Saccharomyces cerevisiae S288C: one gene and its partner. The gene in region 2 interacts genetically with the main gene of each other region. Each region holds a gene or a part of one and is shown on either strand. Other genes may lie near its edges. The genes, in order: PMP3 and YGR266W.

Region 1 (6,829 bases), on a different chromosome or scaffold from region 2:
GGCACTGCGGGATATTATCCGAAATAAGATCAGGACTGATGTTAATGTTTGGCATTTTCCAGTTGATGTGCTCTTTGGGTGTCATCGTATTGCTGTTGCCTATTATCATACTGGACGCGATCGATCTATTCCTCTACATGTGCAGGTTGCTTGATTACGGTTGCAAGTTATTCCACTACAATAGATCATCATTACCGGTGGCAGATGGAAAAGAAAAGACCAGTGGTCCCATAAGCGGAAAGGAGGAAATAGTTATTGATGAGGAGATAATTAATATGCTAAATGAATCCTCAGAATCATTGATCAATCATACTACAGCTGGTCTGGAATATGATATTAGTTCAGGTAGTGTTAACAAAAGTAGGCGTTTGAATTCAACTAGTACAGTTACATTTGTGAAGCAGAATAAACTTGTTAATGAAAGGAGGGAAGACGCCTACTACGAGGAAGAGGATGATGATTTCCTATCAAATCCGAATTATGATAAGATATCATTGATCGAAAAATCATTCACGAGTCGTTTTGAAGTGGCTTGTGAGCAGAAAGCTGCTTAAATTGATAATCAAGGTCAAGGCAACGCAACGCCACTGCTAAGAACACTTATTGCTACAGAAAGGAAACTAAAAATAATTATAAGGCTAGAGAGAAATAAAAACAAAATAAGAGAGATAATATGGGTAAGGGTCTGCCACCCATCTGATAAAAGGCTGTTCTATCTTTTGGAACTCTACAACACAGGTAAACGGATGATACTGGCTATATTTATATAGATAAACAAACTTGCAGGACAGATAGTTAAGCGTCTATATCATGTGTATTTTAAGCGAAGAAAAAAGTACAAAAATGATAAAAGGCAAAAAAGATGAGAAGTTTTTTTTGTGATAAAATTAATTATTAAAAAATACACACGTAGTTAAAATTAACAGCGGGGGAGGAAACCTTAAGAGAAAGAGAAACAAAAAAAAAGAAAGGAAACAAATAAAAATGAGGGTGACCCGAACATGTTGATACCGTTTCCTAATACTGCTTCCTTATTTCATTTGATAGTTACTTTCGTTTATTGAATGAGCTTAATCTTGTAGGACAATGTACAAGGCATATAGCATACCTGGGAACCAAGCCAAAATGGTCAAAATGATATCCACTATACAGTCAGTACCCCACCCACGGGCTAGAAAAACGGCGACTGGTGGTAAGAAAAGGGATAATATAATGTTAATGATCTTGGCAGAATCCATTGTTGTATTGTGCTGTGCTGTTTAGTTCAAAATGTATAATCAATTGTATTATACTGGCGAAAAACAACAACCGATAGTAAATTTTCTTCTTTTTTTCCTTTCCCTCTTCCAAAACAAAAACACTCACTTCCTCTTTTGTATTTATAGAGGCGCCCATCGCAAAATAACCAGGACCCCCTTTTGAGGGCGTGGTTAAAGGGCACCCAGAGCCCACACCCATTGCATCTTCCGCTATTAGGGGACTGCGGAAGTGAGGGGAGCAGTAAATAGTGATCTTTGTAATTTTCTGCAAAATCCCTCTCGCTGTCTCGGGTTTTTCGATTCAGAGGACCTTCCCCCCCCCATGTTCCGAGATCGGTTTTGGTGGTTAGAAGGCCGGAGGAAAGACATTTACCGCTTGCGCGCGGCTTCTTCTGTATGCTGTGCTCAACTACCAAGAGAAGGATTACGCGCACGGATACGTTGGATGTCTGCGATTGGTGATGCTAAGAACTAAAGGTATTTCGTCATCGTATGGTTTGATCTTCGCTACCCTTGACTCTTTACTGCGATAACGGTACCACGTTCCCATAAAATTCTTATTACTAAATCTCTATAAAGCTGCAACAGCTAGTTTGTATATATAAATCATTGGCGCTTCTTCCTCAATTCCTTGGGAATTTGGAGCTCCTCTATTAAAACTGATGTCCATGGGATAGTATTGATACAATCGAAGAGTCTCCAAAAAAACCATCGGGAAGGTTTCTTTTTAGTATCTTCAGGATACTGAATCCGGCTGCCAATCCAATCCTAATCTTTGGTAAACTTGTGCCTGACATTGCGACCATATCGTAGCCTTTTCTTCTTTAGATAAGCTGACTTTGTTTTTTCCCTGTTGATTTGTTGCGGCGCTTGATCTCATCATCAATTCATCAAGGTTATTATTGGGGTTTTTCAACTGAATGTTCTTCAATAAAGCCTTTTTCAGAAGCGATTTTGTTTCTGTGCTGTTTTTCCGCGGTATTATGCTTGGTGGGGGCATGTCCGGTCTTTTTAAGTTGGACTGTTGTAACTTCCATTTCTTATATTCGGAGCATCTTTGTTTGAAATCAAACCTGCATTGTGCCTCTACTGCTATATTTAAGAGGTAATTTTCGATGATATTTCTCCATTCCGGTTTCGACAAATTCATGACGGCTTCATTTCTACCAGTTATATGCTCATGTCTTTTTCTAGCGGTCGCTACTGTATATTTGGCGCTGGTTAGTTTGAATTCATAATCTAAGTTAGCCTCCATGTACAGATCCGAATGGACTAACGTTGCGATTATGGTCTCATCGCTAGAATATAGTGGTAATAATTGTAACCTAAACTGGGGCATATTATCACCCACCGTTATTACTTCCGGTAGTTGATTACCCCATTCGGGCCTTAACTTCTCGACTATCAATAACGATCTTATATCGTTTAAATCCCAATCCAATAACTCTCTCTTGGTAAACTTGGGACGCCCGTTACAGAGAATGTTGGATGGGTCTGCTAATAGAATATCTGGCGAATACATGTCATAAAACGTTTTGGGTAATGCTTCATCCAGGCTCACTCTCGTGATTAACTTGTGGTTAGGAAATTCGGAGAACGAAGAGTCATTAGTTAGTTGCGTGTGCACAGTAGAGGGGGCAGAAAATATACTTGATTGATAAGACGAGGCATTATCCGAAAGTAAACTCCCACTTTCAGCCACGCTTGATCTCCTGCTCGCTGAATGCATACTGCTTGAATGATGTGACCTTCTGCTAGGTGAGGAGGCCAATAATCTTTTTTTAATCTCATCTCTAGCTCTATCAGTGTACTCCGGAGGAGCATTCACAAAGTTCTCTCTTCTCGAAGAAGTCGTGGATTGAGAGCTACTCATTGATAGTGGCAAACTTTGAAAAGAAGCATTATCACTGCCACTCATCGTGTTTTCCGGAATGGCCTGTAGGGAGCTTGCAAACCCATGATTACTGTTAGTCGATTCTAATGGACGTCGTTGTAAAACTTGGTTTTTCGAAGTTGCTGGTGGTGGTGAAACAAACATTCCTTTGAGTGTGTGTACTCTATGCGTTCGAATAAAATTCTCTTTGTATTGCTGCTTGTGGTTTCGCTATTGAGAACTTTCAATATACGTTAAAAAATACTTGGAGTGAAATGAACAAATCTTTTTGTATGTTTCCTTAAGTTATTAAAAAACTCCATGCTGTTTTTTAATAAAAAAAGAAGCAGTTACAGGCGCATTACAAAGTTTGAGAAGAAAGGAAAAATGTCATTTGGTTATATAAATTTTTTTTCTTAATGGAGATTGAGGCAGCAATAAAATGTGGGATGAAAAAAAAAAAAAAAGGCACTTGAATAAGGGGTAGAATGGCAGATATTCCATGTCTACGGTAGTTTCACTGGAGAAATGGACTCGTATTTTCTCTCACGATGAATTTTTCCACAAAATTATAAGATGAGGAAATGTGTGGGGCAGTCATCCTAACAAAACTCGCACGGACTCCATTTCCCCGGACCTTTTTCCCGCTTGTTCTAGGGAATAATTTCGGAATAATTTTAGGGACTTCATAGTATGACTGGGTTTCAAGGAACGGAAAAACTGGTTAGTACCGCGTTATTCTGCCATTTGCTGATCGTTTTAGTGGAGGAGCGGAGGAGGGGGCGGGGTGATAACTTTTTTTCCGCTTTACAATAGAGAAAAGTCCAAGTAAGTCTCGGCGTGAGATGGCCTTGATGTTATTAGTACCGGCGGCTCCCTAATAGTTTACTAATACGCATACCTTATGTCATATTTTTCCATCAAATATTGATCAGTAGAAAACCTTGGCAATGTACATAGAGCTACACTTTTTTGGATATGGAGTATTAGAGAAAACTGGGTTTGGTGGGCGAAGAGAGATGTTCCCTACCTCCTCAAGAGTCTTCAACTATGAATTTCACACCATATCCTTATCTAAACGAACTATGGGGTGGTCAGCTAACGCAAGTATTGAATTCTTTCTCTTAAAGTACCCCTAAGTTGAAGAATTCATTTTAATCTTCCTTGCTTTGTCCCCCCCCCCTAGAAGCATAGTTTTGTCTTAACGCTGTAACGGTCTTGTATGCTTATTTTGGTGGTAGGGATCGGTTTGCACCTTGGAAATGCTATGTTTACTTTATTAAAAAAATAATTAGTTTTCCTCCAAAACGTAAACAAATATAAGTTTGAGAGACAAAGAAAAGAATGAAAGAGTCTTATATATATATAAGTTAGCTGGTAGCATAACCATTTTTCTCGACTTATTTATAAAACATTCGACATACTTCCATATTTCAAGCATTAATATGAGACCTAGAATTTTTTCAAGCTAACTTATGTACATTGTAGTTATATGATGAGGAAAAATGTACACAACAGCTTGTGCTGTTTATTCCCATCGTATGTTGCGGTAATGCAAACAGCAATAGAAAAAAAATTGATATAAGAAGAATATGACTAGTAGCATCACAGTGAAACAGTAACGGTAAATGAATCAGCATGTGAATTTTTCTAGAAAATAAAAAAGAAACTCCGAAGCGGGGAGTCGAACCCCGGTCTCCACGGTGAGAACGTGATGTGATAGCCGTTACACTACATCGGATTGTACCTTGGTGATAGTTTGACCTAAAAGAAACGTTCATTATGTAATGAAGAAAGCCAATTATTCGGTCGCAAATCAAGGTTCTGTTAGGGAATATGATTTTCTTTGACTCTCAATGAGTTCTCTTATGACTATTTAGGGGCTAAATTATTTGTTATGGCAATATTATTAGGTAGGAAAGATACGACTTTACTGAAATTGTTGGAAATACAAAAAGGAGCAGATCATTCCACATAATGATATCATTATTCCCTCTTTCATTTAAAAAATCACCGTTTTTATTTTATTAATTATCAGTCTCTGCATTTTCAGATTCTGTTAAATTTGATAAATGTTTTTCGCCGTTTATAAAGTATTTTTGCATCATGTATGATAATGTATTAGTAATATGAAAACTGGTGTTATTAATAATCAGTGGTCAGGATGTAGTATTAGTTTGGAATAAAAGCAAATCTCCTCATGCTATATAAGAGGAATATAGAAAATACAGGCCAGTTGTTCTTATTAAACATGAACATAATAGTGGGTCTAGCAGTTACTATACATTTAAATTGGCGACTACTATTATTCGTACATTCGACTATAGCAGTATTTCCAATTAATGGATCTTTAACTCAGCTATTATACTGTTTGAGTTCCTCGTTTAACATTTCCCTGTCCAACAGGGACTTAAAAGTATGTAGGGTTTGCATTAATATACAGTAGAGACACTTAAATTGTTACTATAGTAACTCAAGTTACTATTCGTGAGAATATTGACTTATTATTCTTCATGAATAGTCGATTAGTAATCAAATGAAGTAATCAGATGTGCAATGCGTCTTTAATGTTTCAGACTGGAGAATGATACGTAGCTACATAATAATCTGGGTACAGTAAACTCAATGATCTATTACCTGAATGATTAATCTGATGCTTGCAATATAACAATTCATCTCGTGACATTAACCATAAGAATTACTCTCATCATTGCTATATCGGCAAGGTTTAATATGTCCAGTCGGAGTGTATTTTATATCTCTTTCTTTTAGAATAAGAATATCTGCTTTTATTCTTAATCAATACTACAACCTAACTACTAACTATCAACACTGTTAATTACGATTCGCTCCAACAAATTTGGTTTTGTGGATTCTTAAATTCTCGAGAAAAACTTCTAATATATCTTGTATACCAGATACTGTAGCCTTTAGCAACGATAGAATACGAACAGTTCTCTTAAAATTCGCCTATTTCTCATACCGTTGCAGATATAACTAAAGTATTGACATTCAGTGACATCTGGCGCTGATATCATTATTTAACACACGTATGTTTGCGTGGCATTGTCATTTTTAAGAGCAGAGAAAGAAACAATGAGCTACTTGAGTGTGACAAGTTGAAAAGTCCACCAATTTCACGTTGAATTAGGATTCATATATGAAATTCTAGTCATTAATTAGAATTGTAAGTTTCTGAGCTTTTTTTTCCTAGTAAATTAAACTTGTCTAATACATCCAGTTGTGATGTATTCTATATCTCAGTTCTACAGTAGCACGAAGTTTCCCGGCCTCTCTATTCAATAAATTCAGCTATCGCTGATTATCAACAGCAGCAACGAATAAAGCATAAAAGAACAGAAAAATTCTTCTACAAATTTATTCTGTAAAGATTCAGCTTCTTTCGTGAATTTCTAAGTTCATGAGGGGAATTTAAGTATGGCGTTTCTTCGTAGCGCCATTGTCTTGAGCCAAAATGGAACTCTAAAAATTTTCACGACATTTTACTAGTCAGTAAAGTGAGCATATACATATAAGAAGAAATTTCAAAAGGTAAAAAATGGAGCAACTTCCAGCTCATTATCTTTTCAATGTTGTCGATGCCATAGTTGGATTATGAAATCTCATATTCATAACCACAACGCGTTTTTTTCCTTTTAAGGCACTACAGACTCCATTCTCACAAGTTTGTCAAAAG
Region 2 (8,744 bases):
AGCATATAATCCAGCTTGTTCTTTAAATTATTAAGTTGATCTGCCAGTAATGGTTTGATTAATTCAGGTAGTGGCTGAGGAGAACTACCAGTAGATCTCGCAGATGACGGAACAATTTTTTTCAAAGCTAACATGAAATCGCTAACTTTGACTTTAATCTTAGAAGGGTCCACCAAGAGTTTATCATTTGACCTATAAATTTGAGGAAAGCTTCTTTGTATACTTATTAGTGCAGCCTCAGTGCATAGGGACCTCAGATCAGCACCACCATATCCTTTGGTCAAAAAAGCCAATTTATCAATGAAGTTGGTTGACAACGGTGAACTCCATTTCCTGGTCTGAATTTGCAAAATTTTAAAACGTGCTTTAACATCAGGTAATGGAAAATAAAATTCTCTATCAAATCTTCCCGGCCTTCTTAATGCGGGATCCACTGCATCGGGTCGATTTGTGGCTCCGATGACAATGACTTGGCCTCTATTGTCCATACCATCCATCAGCGCTAATAATGTGGAAACAATACTAGCATGGATCTGTTCTTGTTTGGAACTTCTCACAGGCGCTAATCCGTCGATTTCATCAAAAAAAATGATGGAAGGTTGATGTTTTTTAGCTTCTTCGAATAACAAACGGAGTTGTCTTTCAGCTTCACCAACCCACTTGGATAAAATATCTGCACCTTTACGCATAAAAAATGTGATCTTCCTTTCATCAGAAGAACAACTTGCTGCTAACGCTCTTGCCATAAGTGTTTTACCCGTACCAGGAGGACCATGGAAAAGAACACCCCTTGGGGGCGTGATATTAAAATTTTGATACAATTCTGGGTATAATAGTGGTAAGGCCACCATTTCCTTTAATTGGTCAATGTAGTTGTCTAAACCACCTATATCGTCAAAATTTACATTCATGTCTACGCCTAATGGATCGAGGTCTGCAATTTCTGGTTTTTTCTTCTTCTTTTTTTGCGTGTTCTCTTTCTTTGTTTTCGGTGTCACGCCAAGAGGTAATATCTCATCATCGGAAGAGTCTGAATCCAGTATTAATTTATTGTTGTTATTATCACTGAATGCAGATGGGACTTGGTTGTAAAAATTAGTATTCTTACCAAATATTGTAGTTACGTCATTGCCACCAAAAGGTCCACCAGTGGGAAAAAGCCTTCTTGTGGGACCAGAATTTTGACTAGCATTCCAACCACCGCGACCACGCCGTGCAGGTGATGGGTTATGAAAAGAAAGTGCATTGTTATTCTTATCTATAAATTCTTCTGCGTTGCTAGCAGTTAGTGGTGGTGGTAATTTGTAATTTACCGGCTTAGTTCTTTCGCGAAGAAATCTTTTTTCCCTGATAGGACTATCTTCCTGTAACTCTCTAATTTCATCAGCTAAAGTTAACGCTTCATTCCTGCTATTATCATTCTCATCGTCATTTTCTTCATTTGAAGTACGCGAATGTCTTGTCCTACTTCTTAAAGCTCTTCTTACCGGTGGTGGAGTTTCTGGGTGACGTGACGATCTTGTTCTTCGAGAATTTGCCCTTTTCAAACGTTTAGAAGAAGCCGAATGGCTTATTCTGTCTCCTTCTTCGTCATCCTCATCGTATTCTTCATCGTCATCAGGGTCTGGTACTACAAATTTCCTATCGGCCGCTCTGCGCCGACGGTTGTTATCCTTCGAGTCTTCATCCAAATACTCATCTTCAAATTCGTCTGCTTCTTCCTCCTCTTCATCATCGTCGACATCTTCCTCATGAAAACTTTCGTCATCTTCTTCTGGATCATGCGCTTTTCTTTTTCTCAAGTTCCTTTCATTAGTAAGCTCTTCGTTCGTTCTGGCGTTTTCGTGCGGTGATACAAGATCAACATCATCGTCTTCATCATCGCCTTTCTGGTTGTTGTTATGATGTTCATCACTAGTAACATCAACGGGCGTCTCATCTTTGTCCATGACCTGGTCATCTTCCAAAAAATCAAACACTTTCTCAATTTCTGCGTAGTTTATTTTTCTCAAAGAGCGAGTTGTTGTATGGATTATGCCATTTTCGTCTTTAATCTGTGTTTCATACCCAACCTTTGCGTTGCTTGCATCTTCAACGTCGCTACCGCGTCTATTCCTTAAATTTCGTGCCATGTTCTTTCTGCACCAATTGTGAATAAATAGCGAGAAGAGAGAAATAGACCGTGGTAACTTCTTTTTATGACTGTCGAAAACAACAATGGGTTAGTAAGGAGTACGCAAGATCCTTCAGACGTTTTGCTTTATTTAAGACCCTACGCAGTTCCTTTTCTGCTCCTTTTCGTCCCAATATTGCTCTTTCGCTACCACTTTGTCCTTTTTCGCACACATGGCCGTACAAAATAACAGACGGTACGTTTTTAGTGATAATAAACAAGTTTATAGAGGCAGAAAAAAATTCCTCAGCGGCTAATGCCTCAACAAGTTCAGCTGCAAACGATGAAAAGACGCACACAAAAGCGAATAGAAATAACCGATCACCACAGTTCCTCTTTAAAACATCTCAAACTCAGCATTAACTTTCAAATCAATCCAGTGAAAGTATGCTTGGTTTGACACTTCACTGCCATTTCCTCCTGCCTGCCTATCTGATGCTTTGCCACCACAAGAGTGTTTTCCCTATGGCTTAATCGCTTTTTTCCATTTATTTTTCTCTTTCCCCCTTTTAATAGAGGGAAGAGAGCAGAACATACAAACATATCATTTTCTACGGTATAGCCTCCGCCTCCATCTTTAATAGTGACACTTCCATCAAGGGAATAAAGAGGCTTCAAGTCAAGAACTAAGCAGTCCCAAAAAATACCCATAAAACGAGTATAAACCATACTGTTATGTCTAAAGACACGCATGATGATGAACTGCCGAGCTACGAGGACGTAATCAAGGAAGAGGAGAGATTGCAATCTCAACCGCCACGACCACCAAGACCAGCAGCTAACTTGGCGCAAGGGCACCAATCAAGACCCCACCAAAGGCCCTCGACAATGCCAGCAACGTCCTCATCCCAAACATATGCTCACTCACACTCTTATACGCCTACAAGTTCCCAACCACGGCCTCCACCGAGGCCACAACAGAATCCTAGCTTGCCCTGGACATACCCTCCCAGGTTTTACTGTTCCAAGTGTGGAAATACGGGTTACAAGTTGAAGAATGGACGATCTTGCAAGTCGTGTTGGAGGAGGTTTGCACCTCAAAATAACGTTGTTTCTGCACCGACATATTACACAAACTATACAATGCCCGTGTACACCAACGCATGGCAGGGTAATAGGCCCTTGTACGTTCAACCAGGGGATCCTCGCCTGGGTGGCGTGCTATGTGGTGAATGCAGAGGGTCCGGACGCACCAGATTCCTGTTGGACGAAGATATATGTCCTCTTTGTCATGGTGTAGGCAGAATTATCACCCAGCCTCAACGCTATTAGCGCATGAAAATTTAGGATTTGGATGACCCGGTACGGCCTTAGTAGAAAAGCTGTGTCGCTCACCGAAAAGAAAAAAGACCGAACAACTGTAGGATGAAAAGCATATTTTAATGCTCCTAATTTTCAAACATGTCTATTACATACTTATCACATAATCCGACTGATTTGCCCTTCTTTAACTTCTTTCATTTATTTTTACGGTGCCAACCGTCTGATCGATATAGCATCCGTTCATAAAATATTATACGACTCCATCCTCAATCGTGATTGTGCGTGCGTGACTCATTTTTTGTTAGAACCAATACTTTCAATCATCCCAAAATGCATAACATCCAATTAGTGCAAGAGATAGAAAGACATGAAACCCCGTTAAACATTAGACCTACCTCTCCATACACTTTAAACCCTCCTGTCGAGAGAGATGGGTTTTCTTGGCCAAGTGTGGGTACAAGACAACGTGCAGAGGAAACTGAAGAGGAGGAAAAGGAACGAATTCAACGCATTTCAGGCGCTATCAAGACAATTTTGACCGAACTGGGTGAAGATGTCAACAGAGAAGGTCTACTAGATACTCCACAAAGATACGCTAAAGCCATGCTTTATTTCACTAAAGGTTACCAAACGAACATTATGGACGATGTCATTAAGAATGCTGTCTTTGAAGAAGATCATGATGAAATGGTTATTGTTCGTGATATTGAAATTTACTCGTTATGTGAACATCATTTGGTGCCATTTTTCGGCAAGGTTCATATCGGGTATATACCAAATAAAAAAGTCATCGGGTTAAGTAAGTTGGCCAGATTGGCAGAAATGTATGCGAGAAGGCTCCAAGTTCAAGAAAGACTTACAAAGCAAATTGCAATGGCCCTAAGTGATATTCTAAAACCATTAGGTGTAGCCGTTGTTATGGAAGCTTCTCATATGTGCATGGTTTCAAGAGGCATTCAAAAAACGGGATCTTCTACGGTAACTTCTTGTATGCTTGGAGGGTTTAGGGCTCATAAAACAAGAGAAGAGTTTTTAACTCTTTTAGGAAGAAGAAGTATTTGAAAAAAAAAAATAAAAGCGACGATATATCGTGTATGTATTAACTAAATTAATAGAGATATACAGGATTAATATCGTTTGAGAAATCTCCATAGAGAAAGGCCACGCGCGACTGAGCTTTTTTTTTTTTCAACAATCAGTATATACATTTACTTCCGGTACAGCATCGCACTTGACAGTCCGTTAGTAATGAATAGAAAAGTTTGAACTGCTAAATAAAAATCTGTAATTATCACAAAACTAAACTATGTGATATTCAGATGTTTGATACCCTTGTGAGACAACCGTTCGCAGGTAACTGTTAACTCTGGAATGGGTAAACAGTAGCTCACAGTTTGTGAGTTTGTTTGATTTGCATCTCTTTCAACATGAATGGTGGTAAACAAGCCACCAGAAGTTACTGGATAAGAGTTAATTTGGTCATCGTTTTCCAATTTCTGTAGCTTTTGCTGTTCTGTGATGATACCAGGAATGACTATATCACCAACCTTTACGCCTAATTCTTTACTCAATTGGGGATTATTCAACAGGTTTTCTATAGGTATAATATCTGACCAGTTTCTCTTGTTCATGAAACATGATTCTTTACGTTTATGTACTCCATCCACTTCCTTGGCAAAAATTGGTACGGCATCTTCATCCGTTTCCAAATCGAAATGATGCAAGCGACATCTTTTTTGCAATAGCGTGGCCATTGCATCTGGCGGTGGGGTATTTACTATGGCGCTAGCAATGATATTAAAAATCAGCCTTACGTCTTTCGTTGGTTCTTCAATAATTCTGGTGTTTTCCTTTTCCTTCTCCTCAGACATGATGAGATGGTGTCTATGAATTTTTGCCCTAAATCTCCCAACAGATGCCAAATGTACATCGCCTGATAATATGGTTATTCTGACGCCATATTTAGCACCTATGTCTTGCAATTTCATTATCAAGTAGTTTCTTTCTTTTTTATGATGTCTCGCGCACCAATGATCATTTAAATCATCCAACAGTTCTACATCTCCATTAAATTCGTTAACGAAGCCACTAGCAAATATCCCTTTTTTAGATAAATATTTAATTGGAGCCAGTAGTTTTGAGGTAAAAAGCCATTCTAACCATACTAACCTTGGATATGCAATCGGGATACCGAGCATCAGCAATAAGTGGCCACCTTTTAAATTTTTTATTTCCCTTTCGACACGTTCCCAAATTAAGGAATAACTTCTTTCTGAGAAAATCTCGTGTAATTTCCTCTCAGTTCTACAGTCCAACCCTAACATGGCCATTTTCGGACCCAACCAAGAGAATATTGAGTGAGACCTTTCACCGATATAAGAACTCCCTTTTTCATTACCTAGAATCCATTGTTTGCTCTTGAGATAAGCATACTCATCGCCATCTTGTTTAGAAGCACTGACATGCTGCTGGAAAAGCATATAGTATCGGTAAGCCATTCTTCCCACTGTGAGGAAATTTTCAGTCTTCATGAAGGAATCGTTGTACGATCCATAGCCATCAATAATATCGTGGTCATCCCAGACATTAATGGCAGGAATACAAGCTAGTGACTTGACAAAGCATTTTTGGGTGGTCTTGGATTTTGGGGTAGAACCATACCAGTGACCGTAACCGTACCAGTTTAAATAGTGTTCTAAATAAAACTGCCTAATCTGCTCTTTTGTTTCTTCAGTGGTCTGAGTATTATACTTCTTAATTGGGTCCTTTGTCTCCAGCCAAGCTTTAAGATTTGGCGCATGCAGTTTAATATTATCGGAGTAAATTTGATCTCCGCCGCCGAGAATGGCATGATAATGAACGTATCGATGCTTTTTAAGGACATCATACCATAGAGAACCTTTGAATTTCGATGTATCTACGCTCAGTGAAAATCCGTTGCATGAATAGGAGATAACGTTCGAATTTTGAGTGAAAGAGGGAACGAAGAACCTATAATGTGGTTCCATAGTACCGTCAACAGCATATTTTACCATCTGCTCATAGTTGGACATGGGCAACTTAATCTCATACCTGTAAAACCATATATTATCATCTTTTAAAATGTCCTTATGAAAAAGTTTACCTTCGAAGAATGCCTCGTTAACTTCGATGTCTTCATCCTCAGAGGGCAAAGAGGGCCCTAGCTGATAGGTAATTTTCGGAAAGTTTTCCTCGCCTCTAACTACCACCATAATAGACCCCTCGTAGGTTTTTTCCTTAAAATCCATGTTGATGAGTCTTAATATCGGTCCACATATAATACCAGACTTTGGAATTGGCGAAGTTTCGGAACAGTCATCGCAGCCAGTGACATCGTCTCTATAAAGAGCTTCTGGGTTCCAATCGTCGAACCAGTTTGTAGCATGCATTTTTGTAGCAGTGTTTATTTTCAATTGAGTACTTTGAACCCGGTAGCAACTGTTTTGACCTTCTGTAGGACTTTCCCCTCACTAACTTTGTGGAATTTCTTTTCATTTTTACTAATGGACCCTTCGCTATGTAGCCGTGCCGATAAAAATATATTCCTGGTATTACCCGACGCTGCTATTTCAACTTTTTTCAATAAAAGGACGAAAAAATAACATGTTTAATCTTGAGACCTTCTGGGTTAAGTTTATTGATAGAGATTAAGTACTAGTTTAAAACGTCTCAGGCATAAAACATGAATTATGCTAACTTTTTAGCTACAGCGGACATAGTTGTACAAACTGAGGAAAGGCTTCTTTAACCAGGGATTTTGAAGTAGGAATTGTTGAAGTCAAAAATGGGAACCTATGGAGGGGAATTCAAAAGGCATGAAGTCAAAAGATTAACATAATATAATTCAACTTTGAAAAATATTCTAGTCAAAGCTTTCCCGAGAACGCGTAGCGTGATGATAATGGTGTATCCTATCGATCTGTCGACTTGCTATGATTATCTTTGTTAGCCGCCGAAACGATCATTTATGCATTGCCCGAGTATAGTCACTTCTTCTCAATATCACGAGGCACGAATGATTTCGGAGGCAGAAAAAATTTCTGTACGCAACTTATCGAAAGAGAAAACGAAAAAAAAAAAAAGACGATGACAAATTTTCTTCGATGTCTAATGTTAATGATGATTTGCTTCCTGATATGCATCTTTGTGGAGGAATAAAACTTGAAAAAAAAGCGGAAATTTACAACAAGCATGTCTTTCCTCATTTCCTTTGATAAATCGAAGAAACATCCTGCCCATTTGCAGTTAGCGAACAATTTGAAGATTGCCCTAGCACTTGAATATGCAAGCAAAAATTTAAAGCCTGAAGTTGACAATGATAATGCTGCCATGGAATTGCGCAATACAAAGGAACCTTTCCTTTTGTTTGATGCTAACGCTATTCTAAGATATGTCATGGATGATTTTGAAGGTCAAACTTCCGACAAGTATCAATTTGCATTGGCATCTTTACAAAACCTGTTATATCATAAAGAATTACCTCAACAACATGTCGAGGTTTTGACAAATAAGGCCATTGAAAATTACTTGGTCGAATTAAAAGAACCATTGACTACTACAGATTTGATCCTGTTTGCTAACGTTTATGCTCTAAATTCTTCTTTAGTTCATTCTAAATTCCCAGAATTGCCATCCAAAGTGCATAACGCTGTAGCATTGGCTAAAAAGCATGTTCCACGTGATTCTTCTTCTTTCAAAAACATCGGCGCAGTGAAAATCCAAGCTGACTTAACAGTTAAGCCAAAGGATTCAGAAATTTTGCCTAAGCCAAACGAAAGAAACATCTTGATCACTTCGGCATTACCTTATGTCAACAACGTTCCACACTTGGGTAATATCATCGGTAGTGTTCTTTCAGCAGACATTTTTGCTCGTTACTGTAAGGGACGTAATTATAATGCCTTGTTTATTTGTGGTACTGATGAATATGGTACTGCCACGGAAACTAAAGCTTTGGAGGAAGGTGTGACACCAAGACAATTATGTGACAAATATCACAAAATCCACAGTGACGTTTACAAGTGGTTCCAAATTGGATTTGATTATTTCGGTAGAACTACGACGGACAAGCAAACGGAGATTGCTCAACATATTTTTACAAAGCTAAATTCGAATGGTTATCTAGAAGAACAATCTATGAAGCAATTGTACTGTCCAGTTCATAATTCTTATCTGGCTGATCGTTACGTGGAAGGTGAATGTCCAAAATGTCACTACGATGATGCTCGTGGGGATCAATGTGACAAATGTGGTGCCCTGTTAGATCCATTTGAATTGATCAATCCAC

Evidence for each region.
Region 1: mutations in YGR266W (region 2) and PMP3 together harm fitness more than expected from each alone (negative genetic interaction), as found in Saccharomyces cerevisiae (2 studies listed by BioGRID).

The regions. Positions count from the first base shown.
Region 1 is NC_001136.10:1,012,406-1,019,234, forward strand, and holds PMP3 (Pmp3p), read right to left. Parts: upstream 1,239-6,829; coding exon 1,071-1,238; downstream 1-1,070. Other genes in the region: triglyceride-associated lipolysis regulator TLD1, read left to right, coding at 1-554; MTH1 (Mth1p), read right to left, coding at 1,996-3,297. UniProt on the Saccharomyces cerevisiae protein: Plays a role in the regulation of membrane potential. Could mediate a proton leak.
Region 2 is NC_001139.9:1,020,758-1,029,501, reverse strand, and holds YGR266W (uncharacterized protein), read right to left. Parts: upstream 6,847-8,744; coding exon 4,741-6,846; downstream 1-4,740. Other genes in the region: chromatin segregase YTA7, read right to left, coding at 1-2,132; HUA1 (Hua1p), read left to right, coding at 2,849-3,445; FOL2 (GTP cyclohydrolase I), read left to right, coding at 3,767-4,498; methionine--tRNA ligase MES1, read left to right, coding at 7,649-8,744.